Saccharomyces cerevisiae S288C: one gene and its partner. The main gene of each other region encodes a partner of the protein of the gene in region 2 in a complex. Each region holds a gene or a part of one and is shown on either strand. Other genes may lie near its edges. A codon is read from its position in the direction of its gene.

Evidence for each region. Proteins that work in one complex are often made in the same cells at the same time.
Region 1: the proteins of ZIP2 (region 2) and SPO16 are in contact, whole or in part, in a crystal structure (PDB 6BZG), measured with the Saccharomyces cerevisiae proteins. Residues at the interface, in NP_011265.1 of Saccharomyces cerevisiae: Phe534 (codon at 3,484), Leu558 (codon at 3,412), Gly562 (codon at 3,400), Leu564 (codon at 3,394), Asp567 (codon at 3,385), Val570 (codon at 3,376), Asn571 (codon at 3,373), Leu574 (codon at 3,364), Thr575 (codon at 3,361), Glu576 (codon at 3,358), Phe586 (codon at 3,328), Gln591 (codon at 3,313), Asp596 (codon at 3,298), Phe598 (codon at 3,292), Trp599 (codon at 3,289), Lys600 (codon at 3,286), Lys602 (codon at 3,280), Leu603 (codon at 3,277), Tyr604 (codon at 3,274), Leu605 (codon at 3,271), Leu606 (codon at 3,268), Asn607 (codon at 3,265), Ser608 (codon at 3,262), Arg609 (codon at 3,259), Val610 (codon at 3,256), Asp611 (codon at 3,253), Val612 (codon at 3,250), Phe613 (codon at 3,247), Phe614 (codon at 3,244), Ile615 (codon at 3,241); in NP_012023.1 of Saccharomyces cerevisiae: Val17 (codon at 2,013), Glu18 (codon at 2,010), Val23 (codon at 1,995), Ser77 (codon at 1,833), Met79 (codon at 1,827), Ser90 (codon at 1,794), Ile91 (codon at 1,791), Ala92 (codon at 1,788), Tyr93 (codon at 1,785), Asp95 (codon at 1,779), Ile96 (codon at 1,776), Glu99 (codon at 1,767), Asp103 (codon at 1,755), Lys110 (codon at 1,734), Arg114 (codon at 1,722), Phe116 (codon at 1,716), Ile117 (codon at 1,713), Thr118 (codon at 1,710), Thr121 (codon at 1,701), Val123 (codon at 1,695), Arg125 (codon at 1,689), Tyr128 (codon at 1,680), Val129 (codon at 1,677), Tyr134 (codon at 1,662), Phe135 (codon at 1,659), Phe138 (codon at 1,650), Lys139 (codon at 1,647), Asn141 (codon at 1,641), Gln142 (codon at 1,638), Thr145 (codon at 1,629).

What each region holds. Positions count from the first base shown.
Region 1 is NC_001140.6:400,622-404,616, forward strand, and holds SPO16 (Spo16p), read right to left. Parts: upstream 2,062-3,995; coding exon 1,465-2,061; downstream 1-1,464. Other genes in the region: MTC6 (Mtc6p), read right to left, coding at 1-227; SPO12 (Spo12p), read left to right, coding at 813-1,334; RTT107 (Rtt107p), read left to right, coding at 2,345-3,995. UniProt on the Saccharomyces cerevisiae protein: Necessary for efficient spore formation.
Region 2 is NC_001139.9:29,384-38,180, reverse strand, and holds ZIP2 (Zip2p), read right to left. Parts: upstream 5,084-8,797; coding exon 2,969-5,083; downstream 1-2,968. Other genes in the region: RAI1 (decapping nuclease), read left to right, coding at 1-564; BRR6 (Brr6p), read right to left, coding at 655-1,248; 3',5'-cyclic-nucleotide phosphodiesterase PDE1, read right to left, coding at 1,419-2,528; RMR1 (Rmr1p), read right to left, coding at 5,546-6,271; HFM1 (DNA helicase), read left to right, coding at 6,545-6,602, 6,755-8,797. UniProt on the Saccharomyces cerevisiae protein: Required for initiation of meiotic chromosome synapsis. Involved in synaptonemal complex formation, a structure that tethers a pair of homologous chromosomes along their lengths and plays a central role in recombination and homolog segregation during meiosis.

The DNA.
Region 1 (3,995 bases), on a different chromosome or scaffold from region 2:
ACCCGTCGTAGATTCAAACCAACATACGGCAGCTGGTCTATAGTTAAGTTTCCCATGACATCTCTTTGGGACCTAAAGGCCACCGTCATTTGAGGGGACATCGTCGGCCAGACAGATGCTGAAACGGTCTCATTCAGATCATCGCCAACTGTCGTAGTAGAGTCAACAGCAGTAACCCACGTTCGCAGTGAGGACCATATGATAAATAGGTATATGAGTATCCACATACCGTGTCTATAACGATGCGAATGCAAATGAACAAAAGAAAAAGGGAAGAATAGAATGGAGATAGTCTTTGAAAAAGCGAGGTTAAAAGCGACTAAAAAATACCAGCAAAAAGGTGACAAATAAAGTTAAACAGGGTGTATCTCACCGTGCAGCGAACACTTCAATGTGACTTGCTCAGCCAAAGACTCATCAACATTTATGGAAATTTCAATGATTCCCATTGTATTGCCTCTTCCCATTGTGGAAAAAAGAAAAATGCCAAAATTGCAAACCCTAATTTAAAAGGGTTACAGAAAAAAAAAAGCAGGTCTGAAATGCAGTTCGCCATGGTTAATATCTTTTCCTAATTTGGAAATATGTAAACAGGGCATCTTTCCTTTTTTTCTCCTAATGAAAATTGTAAGCAAAAGCATGAAACAATACTGCCACAAGAGGAGAATTCCTCCTTTTGAAGTCTAAAGCGCCATTTCAAACTAGTTTTTAGGAGGTCAGCCAAACGTTCATTCAGATTAGTTACTATCTTGGAATACTTCTAGTAGGAAAACAAAATAACATATACAGTAAGAACAATAGAAAACGTATTTATGTCCAACAAGGCAAGTGACCAATCAGCACGCACGGCTTCCATCCTCAAGACTGATATTACCAGAGAAAACACAATCACCAGAAGCAGCAGCAGCAACAACGACAACTACCATCACCACAATAACATCAATAATTACAATGAATCGGCGAAGACAGGAGAGGACGCCAATAAAGAGAATATACCTAATTTAGAGGAGGAGATTGCGGCCTTTCGAATTTTTAGGAAAAAAAGCACTTCAAACTTGAAGTCGTCACACACCACTAGCAATTTGGTAAAAAAGACAATGTTCAAAAGGGATCTTTTAAAACAGGATCCGAAGAGGAAACTCCAACTACAACAAAGATTTGCATCACCGACTGACAGGCTGGTATCACCATGCTCATTGAAATTGAATGAGCACAAAGTTAAGATGTTCGGAAAGAAAAAGAAAGTCAATCCTATGAAACTGAACTTTAAAGGCAACCTTGCTGCCGATTCAGAGGATGTAGAAATCGATGAAGATGAGGAGTATTTCTACTAAAAAAATCTGCCTTTCTAGTCATCCAAAAATAGCCAAATGCTACACTAAACCAATAAGCAAACGAGTACATAAAGAATAAGTAAATAATAATTCAACAATACCTGATTTTTTTTTTCTTACATTTTTTTTATTATTCATTAAAAGCAACCACCAAGCTTTCCAAATTATGAAACCTTGATAAAATGGCTTCAAAATCTTGATCTGGAATTCCGTTTTTTTTGAAGAGGTCGAAAATTATTTGCTTGATTAGAATTTCAAAATCAATAAACTCGTCCATATCCACGCTGTTCCGTGTCAAACGCTGGTTAGCTTTAAAAGCTAGAAAATATTGATTGTTTTCAACATATCGACTTCTGTCTACTGGTGTAACCTCTGTAATAAAGTAGCGGGCACCCGTTTTCGATGGTCCATTTATTAGATCTAGTGACCTCTCCAATAAGATATCCCAATAAGCTATTGAGAATTTCAAGCGCGTGAAATTCAAATTTATCATCAGAGAACGATGTGCGGGAACTCCAGGGCTTTTCTGTATTTTCTCATAGACATTATTTATCAGTAATTGCAGCTGTGTAACAATAAAATTGACGCCACTTTCTTCGTCTTGTAGCTCCTCGTTAAGCTGCGAAATTAACCTGCTCGTATTCACAGTAACACACTTAACCACAGAATGTTCTTCGACATTAGAAATCTCTTGTATTTTTTGTACATCCCAAAAGAATTCAGACATTTCTATTGAACCATTCCAGAAATGTTGTTCCAGAAGTTTATTCTCTTGAACCTTTACACTATTTCGTATTTTCTCGGTTTTAGCCGCCCACTTTTCACGCGTTAACAGGGTAAGCTATATCAGATGTGACTTTTCTTTTTCACTCATCTAATGTTGTTTTTCGCGTCACATTTTTTGCCAATAAATAAATACATCACAATGTTCTATATTGTATATTCAATGGAAGTCATTAGGTTATTGGGCAAGATTTCAAGGAGGTAGCATACTGGTAAATATACGATCCATGAGCACATCACTTCTGTTTGAGCAGCTAAATTTTTTAATTTTAGTGGCAGCAGAGGCTGAGCTTCCCATCGCTCACTCTACTAGAAAGCTTTTGATGGATAATTCATGCAATAACTGTCAAATATACGAGCTTTATAACGAAAATTTGAAAGATGTCAAGACGGATAAAGATTGGTTCATGAACAAATTCGGCCCGCAAACAGTACATTTTGTCATTAGTAATACAATCAACTTTCCTTTTTATAAGATAGTTTATTTCGATCTTTTGATCCCGGTGGTATCACACACTTGGGTCCAGGATTCGGTCAAGACGAAGAGACATTTGAGGACAAATATGTATTCACCTAACCCATTTCATTTGCTCCGAGACTGTCAAGTATATATTTCCAAAAGCTCGTTTAATAAGTGTGAATACATATTATACTCTGATTTGCTTCATTTATTAGGAGGCACTTTAGTCAATTACATCTCAAATAGAACGACGCATGTGATTGTTCAAAGTCCCCAGGACCCGATCATAGCAACGGTCAGTAAATTGACATTTGGCTCTTTTTCCTCTTCATCGACCAACAAGCACACCGAAAAGCCTTTGAGAGAGTGGAAATTTGTCTATCCAATATGGATATTATATCATTTCAAAATGGCGAAGCCCTTGAAGGGCGAGCTTGCTACTTTGTGTGAGCTTGATATGCAGGACACCAGTGAGGAACAGTTATTCGCAAAATGGGAAGAGGTTATTGGCGATAAGCAGACATCATCATCGCAGCTTACTCTTCATCCAAACAAAACTTTATTCAAAAATCACCACTTTGCTATCTCACCAGATTTAAACTTTTTCACACCTTTGTATTGGTTTTTGAAAGGATTTATCGAGGATTTGGACGGCAAAGTAACTCCGTTGAGTTTTTCTGACGATCTGAAGTCTGTTTACCAAGCTTTTCCTGATATTGACTGTTATATCGGCCACTCTGCTAACTCACCGATACTAGAAAAAACCAAAAGCATTAAACCGGAAATTCATGTTGGGAACGTAAGTTGGTTGTTTTATATGTTTGCGCTGCAAAAATTTACACCTGTATCGCAATGTAAACTTATTCACCAACCATTTCATGCGAAATTATTTACTTCTAAGGAATTAACAGTCGCGTACACTAATTATTTCGGCTCCCAAAGGTTTTATATTCAGAGGTTAGTAGAAATATTAGGAGGACTTAGCACACCTGAACTAACAAGAAAAAACACACACTTGATCACGAAGAGTACAATTGGCAAAAAATTCAAAGTCGCAAAAAAATGGTCACTGGACCCGCAAAATGCCATTATTGTGACAAATCATATGTGGTTAGAGCAATGTTATATGAATAATTCCAAGTTAAACCCCAAAGACAGTAGATTTCAAAATTTTAAATTGGATGATAACATGGGATGGAATATCGGCCAAATAGGAATGGATCATTCATCTCTCCCAACTCCAAAAAACCTATCGATGGTGACTTACGACACGCAATCCATATCAGAGAAGCCGCCTCCCACAAATGATCAAATGGATCAAATTAACGATAACACCAATGTATTATCAAAGAAAGATGGTACGCCCATTAGTAGTTTTGAGAACTCAATTGATGAAAAGATTGACAAATTACAAAAAA
Region 2 (8,797 bases):
GATGAATACATTAGTGTTGTGAGAACTGGTGTAGGTAACTGCAAGTTAATTCTTGGTGCTGAGGTGGATTGTATATTTGACTTTAAAGAAAACGGTAGAGACAATTTAAAACATTATGCCGAATTGAAATGTACGCAGCAAGTTGCGAACATATCGGATACGCATAAGTTTGAGCGTAAACTGTTCCGGACCTGGCTGCAATGCTTCTTAGTTGGGATCCCAAGGATCATATATGGTTTTAAAGACGACCATTATGTATTAAAAACTGTGGAAGAGTTTTCAACGGAGGAAGTACCTGTTTTATTAAAGAACAATAATCCACAAGTTGGAAGTGCATGTTTAGAAGCCATTAAATGGTATGGTCTCCTTACTGAGTGGCTTTTGAAAATGATACCAAGAGATGAGGATCCTCATTCTCAAATAAGAGCATTTAAGTTGGTTTTCGAAAATAATCACCTAAGATTATCCGAAATTGAAGAAAGTGATGAGGAATATTCAGGTTTGATTGATGGAGAACATATATTATCGAACGGGTTTAAGGAGTGGAGAAAATCTTTGAAATAACAATATTCCTTTATGTCTTTCCTGCGCATATCCTCATCGACGTATGGATCTAAATAATATAAATGTGCAGATTAGATTAAGTTATATACACTATGCATGGCGAACCGATTTTGTATCTTTATTATTGAGATAAACCCTGTATGATCCGAAACTCGTATTGGTAACAAATATTATACCTATTATGCTAATTAAAATGAAAAGGAAAGATCGTATACTGAACGCTTCAAAAAAAGCATTTATTACCTCCGCCAGAGTACGAGCCCATGCTTTAGCCCATTGGTAATCGGAGCCAGACACTATTTCCTTGTTCATACATTTTGACCATTCATTGCAACGTACCTCCAATGCTGGAACCCTCATATGAGGTTCGCACTGGTTTTCAAAATACCTTGATTTGCAAGTTGCAATTTTATCTAATTCTTCCCTCACGTTATGCTCCAGTTTTAAGTTAACATCGTTTCTTATCATCAAAATGAATTTAATAGCAAGAGACAGTCCTATAGTTCCTATAATAAAATTGAAAAAAAGCTGTATATACTCCGCAATTAAACTTGGGCTCAACCAAATGCTTTGTCGGGCTAATCTAGCATCTTGCGGATGTTCACCTTCCAATACTTCCTCCCTTCCCAATCTTGGGTTAGCAAGTATGCCATCAGGCTGTCTAGAAAAACTACGGAGTTCCATTCCGGGACTTATGTTGGGATAGGGGATTCAAAGATGAGTCTACATAAGTTAACTCATCAATAATAATGGAAAGAAGTTTCATTAGTTACTACTAGTATTTTGCTTGCTCCCGGGTAATGAATTTTTCCGCTTTTCATCTACGTAGTATTATGTTATTGACGTTGTGTACATTATAGAAACAAAGTGTGGCCTTCTAGCGCAATAGATATTCTCAAGTCTCCTAAGTTCCTCTCCTCAGCTAAAAATCGTAACTCTTCGAGTATGGTTAGTCTTGGGTCTCTTTTAGCAGGTGTTGACTTAACGTGAGTAACGATAACATTCAAACCGCTTAATCCCTTACTACTGTTGTATAAAGTGTTCAAATTGGATAATTCGTTGATTAAATATATTGGAGATAGATGACCATACAATTGCTCGGGCTTGGAAGATAATGGGCATGAACATTCGACTAATATACCCTTGAGATGCACAAGCGGTATATTTTCAGCAACGTAAGACCAAAATTCTTCAAGTAGAGATTCTTCAGATTCTCTGCGGTCCTGCTCAACATCTCCGCAAACTATTATACAGTCTTTGCTTTTCCTGTCTCTGAAGATATAGAAGGTGCTGTATACCGGCGCGCCAGTCTTGACGCCTATCCCATGATGAACTTTGAACGGTATTACATCCCAAGGAAAGATAGTGCACTTTTGAACTTCCTTCGGATTCAAGCATTTTAGCTTCAATTTTCTTGAACGTTCTGCCGTTAAATCTGGCCATATTAAGTCATTAAAGACATGCTTTTGCAAAACGTCAATAGTATGCGGTAATCCCCAAATAGTTTTCTTTTTACTGTTTTCCTGCTCATATATTGAGGGGGAGTTTACTACCAGCCCACTAATATGGTCCAGATGGGGATGGGTAATGTAGTAGTCGGTAATTCCTTGGAAAACCTCGTAAGTTTTCTTCATTGTATTGGCGCTTTCAAAATGCTCTCCCTGCCTCTTTAATGATTGTAGCAAGGACTTGGATAATCCCTTTTGTATGTTCAGTTTGGAATCAATAAAAAACTCTATTGGCTCTCGATCATGTTCATAAAAGCTTGGAACAAGCTCATCATCACCTTCATTTTCATTTCGCCCTTGGACCAACATCTCCCGTAGCTGGTACATTCCTGCACCACCGTCTACAGCTATTAATTCTGGATCCTCTGTTCTAGCAGGCTTAAGTATAAAACACTGTGTTCCGTATTCGGTGGGTCCTCCATTGGCCCCAAGTATAGTTATTTCGAATACAACCATAAAAAGGAATATTGGTAAAAAAGGGGATGAAGAAGAAGAACCTCGTTAAAAGCCACTTTCTCTTGGAAATTTCTAAAAATATAAATTTCAGATATTGCTTCCCTCGAAAATGGAAAGGGTTTGACTATTGGTAATTTTTAGTTTCAAGTCACGCACCCTCACCAAAAAGTGCATCTTAATCAGTAACTCATTTTCCGTGCGGTATTTTTTTCGGGTTGTTTATTGTGACAGATGTAATATTATACATACGTTAACATATGATCTACAGATACTCCGATGATCCAAGGGTATAAAAAATAAGGTAAGGGTTAATTAGGTGGCTAGTTCATGTTAATAAATACATTTTCCTTGGTTGAATTTACTAACTGTAGCATGTAGTCGAAGAACGAAAGAGGCAGGCGTAGTATAAATAGTTTACCGGGTAACGATCCTTGCTGGATTTACCATTCTAAGGTTAATAACTTCTTCAGGCGAGTCATTTGTGAAACCGTAAGCATTTTAACAGCTTTGCTTTCTTCCTTTATTATTGCCATAAAAAATTCTTCGAGACTATATGTCTGGAAAATTTTCCGTACTAAGAGGATGTTAAATCCCAAATCTAGAAGAATATCGGCATTTGCAATATTTTTTTCTTTCTCATCGTTATATGAAAAGGCCCATCTTGCAATGAAATATTTCATCCAATCAATAAAAAAGTCAGTAGTCTCATGAATGAAAAAAACATCAACACGTGAATTCAATAAATAAAGTTTGATTTTCCAGAAAAGATCAGGATCAACGTCTTGTATTATTTCAGAAAACTCCACAATTATAATGACTCTCTGAAATTCAGTTAAAAGATCGTTTACCGCTTTATCGTAATGCAATGAGCCGTTATTTCTGAGTTGCATAAATCGGCTCGCCTGAATTTTATATACACATGTTGAATGGTTTATAATGAAATCGCATTCGCCAAAGTAAGATTGTTCGATAAGGTCTAGATGGGAATTTTTACATAATGACTGAATTACCTTTTGGTTCTCAATCACCTTGTTTTCATTTACGGCTATGCATTTATTCTCAATATCTTCTTCCAATATTGAATGCTTTACTGAGTAGTTATTAAATGAGCAATCTTCCTTTCCATTGTAAACTGAATTAGAGGTAGGAATTTCAATATGAGAATTTGCATATGTCCCAGAATTTATCAAGTATGAAGTGGAAGATATACCGGTGTCACTAACATCCTTGTCCTTCTTTATTTTTTTTTTGGTGACTAACATGGACATTAGTTCATTATCGATGAAAGATCTCTTTTGAGGAGCTAATGATGTATTAATATCCGCCTTAGATGAAAGACAATCATTTTCATCAAATTCTTGGGTTTCAATAGCAGTTTCATCGTGTCTTTCACTTTCTTCAATTGACTGATTTTCAGTTTTTTTTACATCTGGCATACTCATTGCAAGCTTTATACTACCAAACGTCTTTTTTTGATTATCGATCAGGTCAAGGGAGCCGGAATCTAATTTTTGAAAAGTTAACCTTAATGGTTTGATCGAATAGGCCTCCCTATTTATGGTAACATGCTCAAATATTGCATACCTAGAATGATTGCAAATTCTTTTCAGAGGATCCCATACCAAATCCTTTAGGTCTTCTTTTTCTAGACACCATATTTTATAGTTCTTTTTCTCAATTGGCTTATTCTTTTTCAATTTTTTCATTCTTATTTTAAAAAATTCTAGTTTATTAAATTGAGCATCAAAGAGTTCATCATAACGTTTTTCAAACGTATTAAGCTGTTGATCATGTTCTGGGACTTTCACAACCCAGCTTTGCGAACTGGTCTTGAAATTGTACTTACTGCACCTACTCTTATATTTGAAAGATTTCTCAGGTGAGATCCGTTGTAAACGGTATCTATTGTAGGTTTGCTCAAAAATTTGGGGCTTCCATTCTGACAAAGGTTTATCAGAAAATCCAACGCAGAAGTTCAACTTTTCCTCCGTTAGTGTGCTGCATTGCACTTCCAGTACAGAGGACATTTGTCTTAAACTCGGATATGGTACCTTTTTCCTGTATTGACTTCTTCTGAGAAGTGGGATGTTGAACCACTCTAACCTCGTGTTATCGTCTGCCAAACCGTGTTCCGTCATTTTTTGGTGAAGAGGAGCATTTAATTGAACTGAAAGACTTTTCATCCAGCTAAAAAATAACATGTCCTGTTTCCCGACTTTTAACTTTTCCTTGAATAACTCATACTGTAGTTCTTCTTTGTTGTCATTCTCAATGTTAGTCACATTCCATGTTTTGCCAACGGCTACATCTATTTTTTGTCTTCCAGAGGTGATGTGAATTACCTCCAAAAAATACTCTTCACCATTGATCGTGCCGCAGTTTTCATACCCTCCGATTTTCAGTGGTTTAAGTTGCAAATTTCTTAGCTCTTTCAAATATTTTTGTGCTCGTCTTCCCAGTTTGATGTTTTCTTTTAAGTTTCCTGACAGAACAGAATAGCCGCCCACATTTTGGTTACATTTAGATAACTTTACTTCCCAACGTTCAATAATCATAGTATTTTTGTAATATGATCTATTTCTCTAAATTGATTCAATTACTCGAGCTCGTTAACAATGGTGTGGCACTATTGAGTGATTTTCTTCTCCTGAAACATATTTTATGCTTGTATTTTACATATCCTAACAGAAAATACTTTCAGCAATTCTTCCGAAAGTAAAACTTGAAAAAAATTGAAGAAAATGACGAAAAAACAATACAAAACAATAATACAATTCGCTACAAAAAAGGGGGAAGGGCTATCAGAAATCGAATATGGACCTTTGCATCATCCAAAATTAATGAATACTTAACTGCTGACTATACAAACGAAAAAGAAGGCGACCTTAAATATTACACAGAGCCAATAATTTATTCGCGGGAGAAGATTCTCAAAAGGAATCCGTGACTGGGAAATCAGAAACTCACCGTTGGACATCAGGATTTCCCACGATCAGTGCTGATTAAACATGGCTACTTTAGTCTTCAGAATCCTCACCTACGTCATCATCTATGTCCATTACAATGACTTCTGAAGTATTCTGGTGTGTATATTGGTCATTGTCATCCACAATTAAGGGATGCGTTTCATCGTTAGAAAATGGCTTTATGTTTTTCAACGTAGCTGAGCTTTCAGTTAATTCAACCAAGGCGTTGTACCGAGAGACAAATCTTGGCCTTGTACTTAATTCAATAGCCAAGTGCGTCGGTATATCAGTTTCAAAATTAGACTCCGATCTTTCCTTCAGGATTTTAAATATAGTATAAACATCGCTGAATGAAATATGGTTGTTGTAGACATTATCTTCGAACAAGGTCAAATCGAGGCTTTTCAGTTGTAAAACCAACTCCTTCGTAGCAAAAGCCAACCTGCCAAAACGATTTCCCATAAATTTACGAATGGATTCCATGAATTCCCCCATGGGTCGCTGATAAAGAGCAGCGTTTTCACATATTATGGGGTTGTTACTTTCGTTCTTATCATCCGACGTGAACAACAGAAATGTAGTATCTTTATATTCCACGGTGACTTTGGGCAATTCGCTTTTCATTAAAGTCTCTGCCACGTTGCGTATACGGGCGTCCGATGGTTGTTCCTCCACGAGTTCATCATCATACTCCAAAAGGTCTTCTTCATCGCCCTCATCCAATTGAACCCCGACGTCATCCACCTCCACTGTTTTATGCGCTTCTTCTTCACTCATCTTTGATTCCATTGATACCAACAAAAACAATCTTTAACTACGTATCTTTTCCTTTACGTATATATAATTAATCATATATACTTCCCTTTTTTATGCCTTGTTGTAGTTTTAACATATCATGTACCACGAATGGATGCAGGCTCGGCGGGTATTTAGACTTTGCCCCGGATTATAAACAAAACGGGACTATTAGTATCATCTATCAAGAAATCCTTTCATTGAAAATGATTGATACCTCAAGGTGGATTTGACAACTTAAGAGGCGTCGTAAGGATGAAAACAAAGTTTGATCGCCTCGGTACAGGAAAAAGAAGTAGACCCTCTCCAAATAGTAGTAACGAAGCTTAGCAACACCCTTATCAGTTTACACCATATCGGACAACAACAGTATTTTGACTAACATTGTTACCTCTTTCTTTTATTATCTAGCGGAAATGCAACCAAAAGTGGTTTTTCTGGACTAGAATTTCAGAGGACTTATAGATATTGACTTTAACGACCAGTCTGCTACATTTAAAAGAAATAAGAAAAATAGCCGCCAACCAAGTTTTAAAGTAGGTTTGTCTTATAACAGTTTACTGGATGATTGTGATGATGAAAATGAAACAGAGGAAATATTTGAGGGCCGTGGTCTGCAATTCTTCGACAAAGACGATAATTTTTCAATAACAGCAGATGATACACAAGTAACTAGTAAATTATTTGATCACGATTTAGAGCAGACACCTGATGAAGAGGCGAAGAAACCTAAGAAGGTCACGATAAGGAAATCAGCGAAGAAATGTTTGAGCACGACCATATTACCAGATTCATTCAGAGGGGTTTTTAAATTTACAGAATTTAATAAAATGCAATCAGAGGCTTTTCCTAGTATTTATGAGAGTAACGAGAACTGCATAATTTCTTCACCAACCGGATCAGGCAAGACTGTATTATTTGAATTGGCAATATTACGTCTTATAAAGGAAACAAATAGTGATACCAATAACACCAAAATTATATACATCGCGCCAACCAAATCTCTATGTTACGAGATGTACAAGAACTGGTTTCCTTCCTTTGTGAATCTTTCTGTTGGTATGCTTACTAGTGATACCTCTTTTCTGGAAACTGAAAAGGCTAAAAAATGTAACATAATAATTACGACACCAGAAAAATGGGATTTGTTAACAAGAAGATGGTCCGATTACAGCCGATTATTCGAATTGGTCAAACTTGTCCTAGTTGATGAGATTCATACCATAAAGGAGAAAAGAGGAGCATCTTTGGAAGTAATTCTGACAAGGATGAATACAATGTGTCAAAACATTCGGTTTGTTGCTTTAAGTGCAACAGTTCCAAATATAGAAGACCTAGCATTGTGGCTCAAAACTAACAACGAGCTTCCTGCAAATATTCTTTCTTTTGACGAATCGTACAGGCAAGTTCAGTTAACGAAGTTTGTTTATGGGTACTCCTTCAATTGCAAAAATGACTTCCAAAAAGATGCTATATATAATTCCAAATTGATTGAAATAATTGAAAAGCATGCCGATAATCGTCCCGTACTAATATTTTGTCCGACTAGGGCTTCAACTATATCAACAGCAAAATTTTTATTAAATAATCATATTTTTTCAAAAAGTAAGAAAAGATGTAATCATAATCCCTCCGATAAAATATTAAATGAATGTATGCAACAAGGTATCGCTTTCCATCATGCTGGAATTTCTTTAGAAGACCGTACTGCCGTTGAGAAAGAATTTCTTGCAGGTTCAATTAATATATTGTGTTCAACTTCAACGTTAGCTGTTGGTGTGAACCTTCCCGCATATTTGGTCATTATCAAAGGCACCAAAAGTTGGAACTCTTCTGAAATCCAAGAGTATTCAGACCTAGATGTACTGCAAATGATTGGGCGGGCAGGAAGACCTCAATTTGAAACTCACGGGTGCGCAGTAATCATGACAGACTCTAAAATGAAGCAAACATATGAAAACTTAATTCATGGAACTGACGTTTTGGAAAGTTCATTACATTTGAATTTGATCGAGCATTTAGCAGCAGAAACCTCTTTGGAAACTGTATATTCAATTGAAACTGCAGTAAATTGGCTACGAAACACATTCTTTTACGTTAGATTTGGGAAGAATCCAGCTGCATATCAAGAGGTGAACAGATACGTTAGTTTTCATTCCGTTGAAGACTCTCAGATAAATCAATTCTGTCAGTATTTGCTTGACACCTTAGTAAAAGTGAAAATAATCGATATCAGCAATGGGGAGTACAAATCTACAGCGTACGGAAATGCAATGACGCGACATTATATATCCTTTGAGTCGATGAAACAATTCATTAACGCAAAAAAATTTCTATCATTACAAGGGATACTAAATTTACTGGCCACTTCTGAAGAGTTTTCAGTTATGAGGGTGAGGCACAATGAAAAAAAATTGTTCAAAGAAATCAATTTATCGCCACTTTTGAAATATCCATTTTTAACCGAGAAGAAACAGAGCCAAATAATTGACAGGGTTAGTCAAAAGG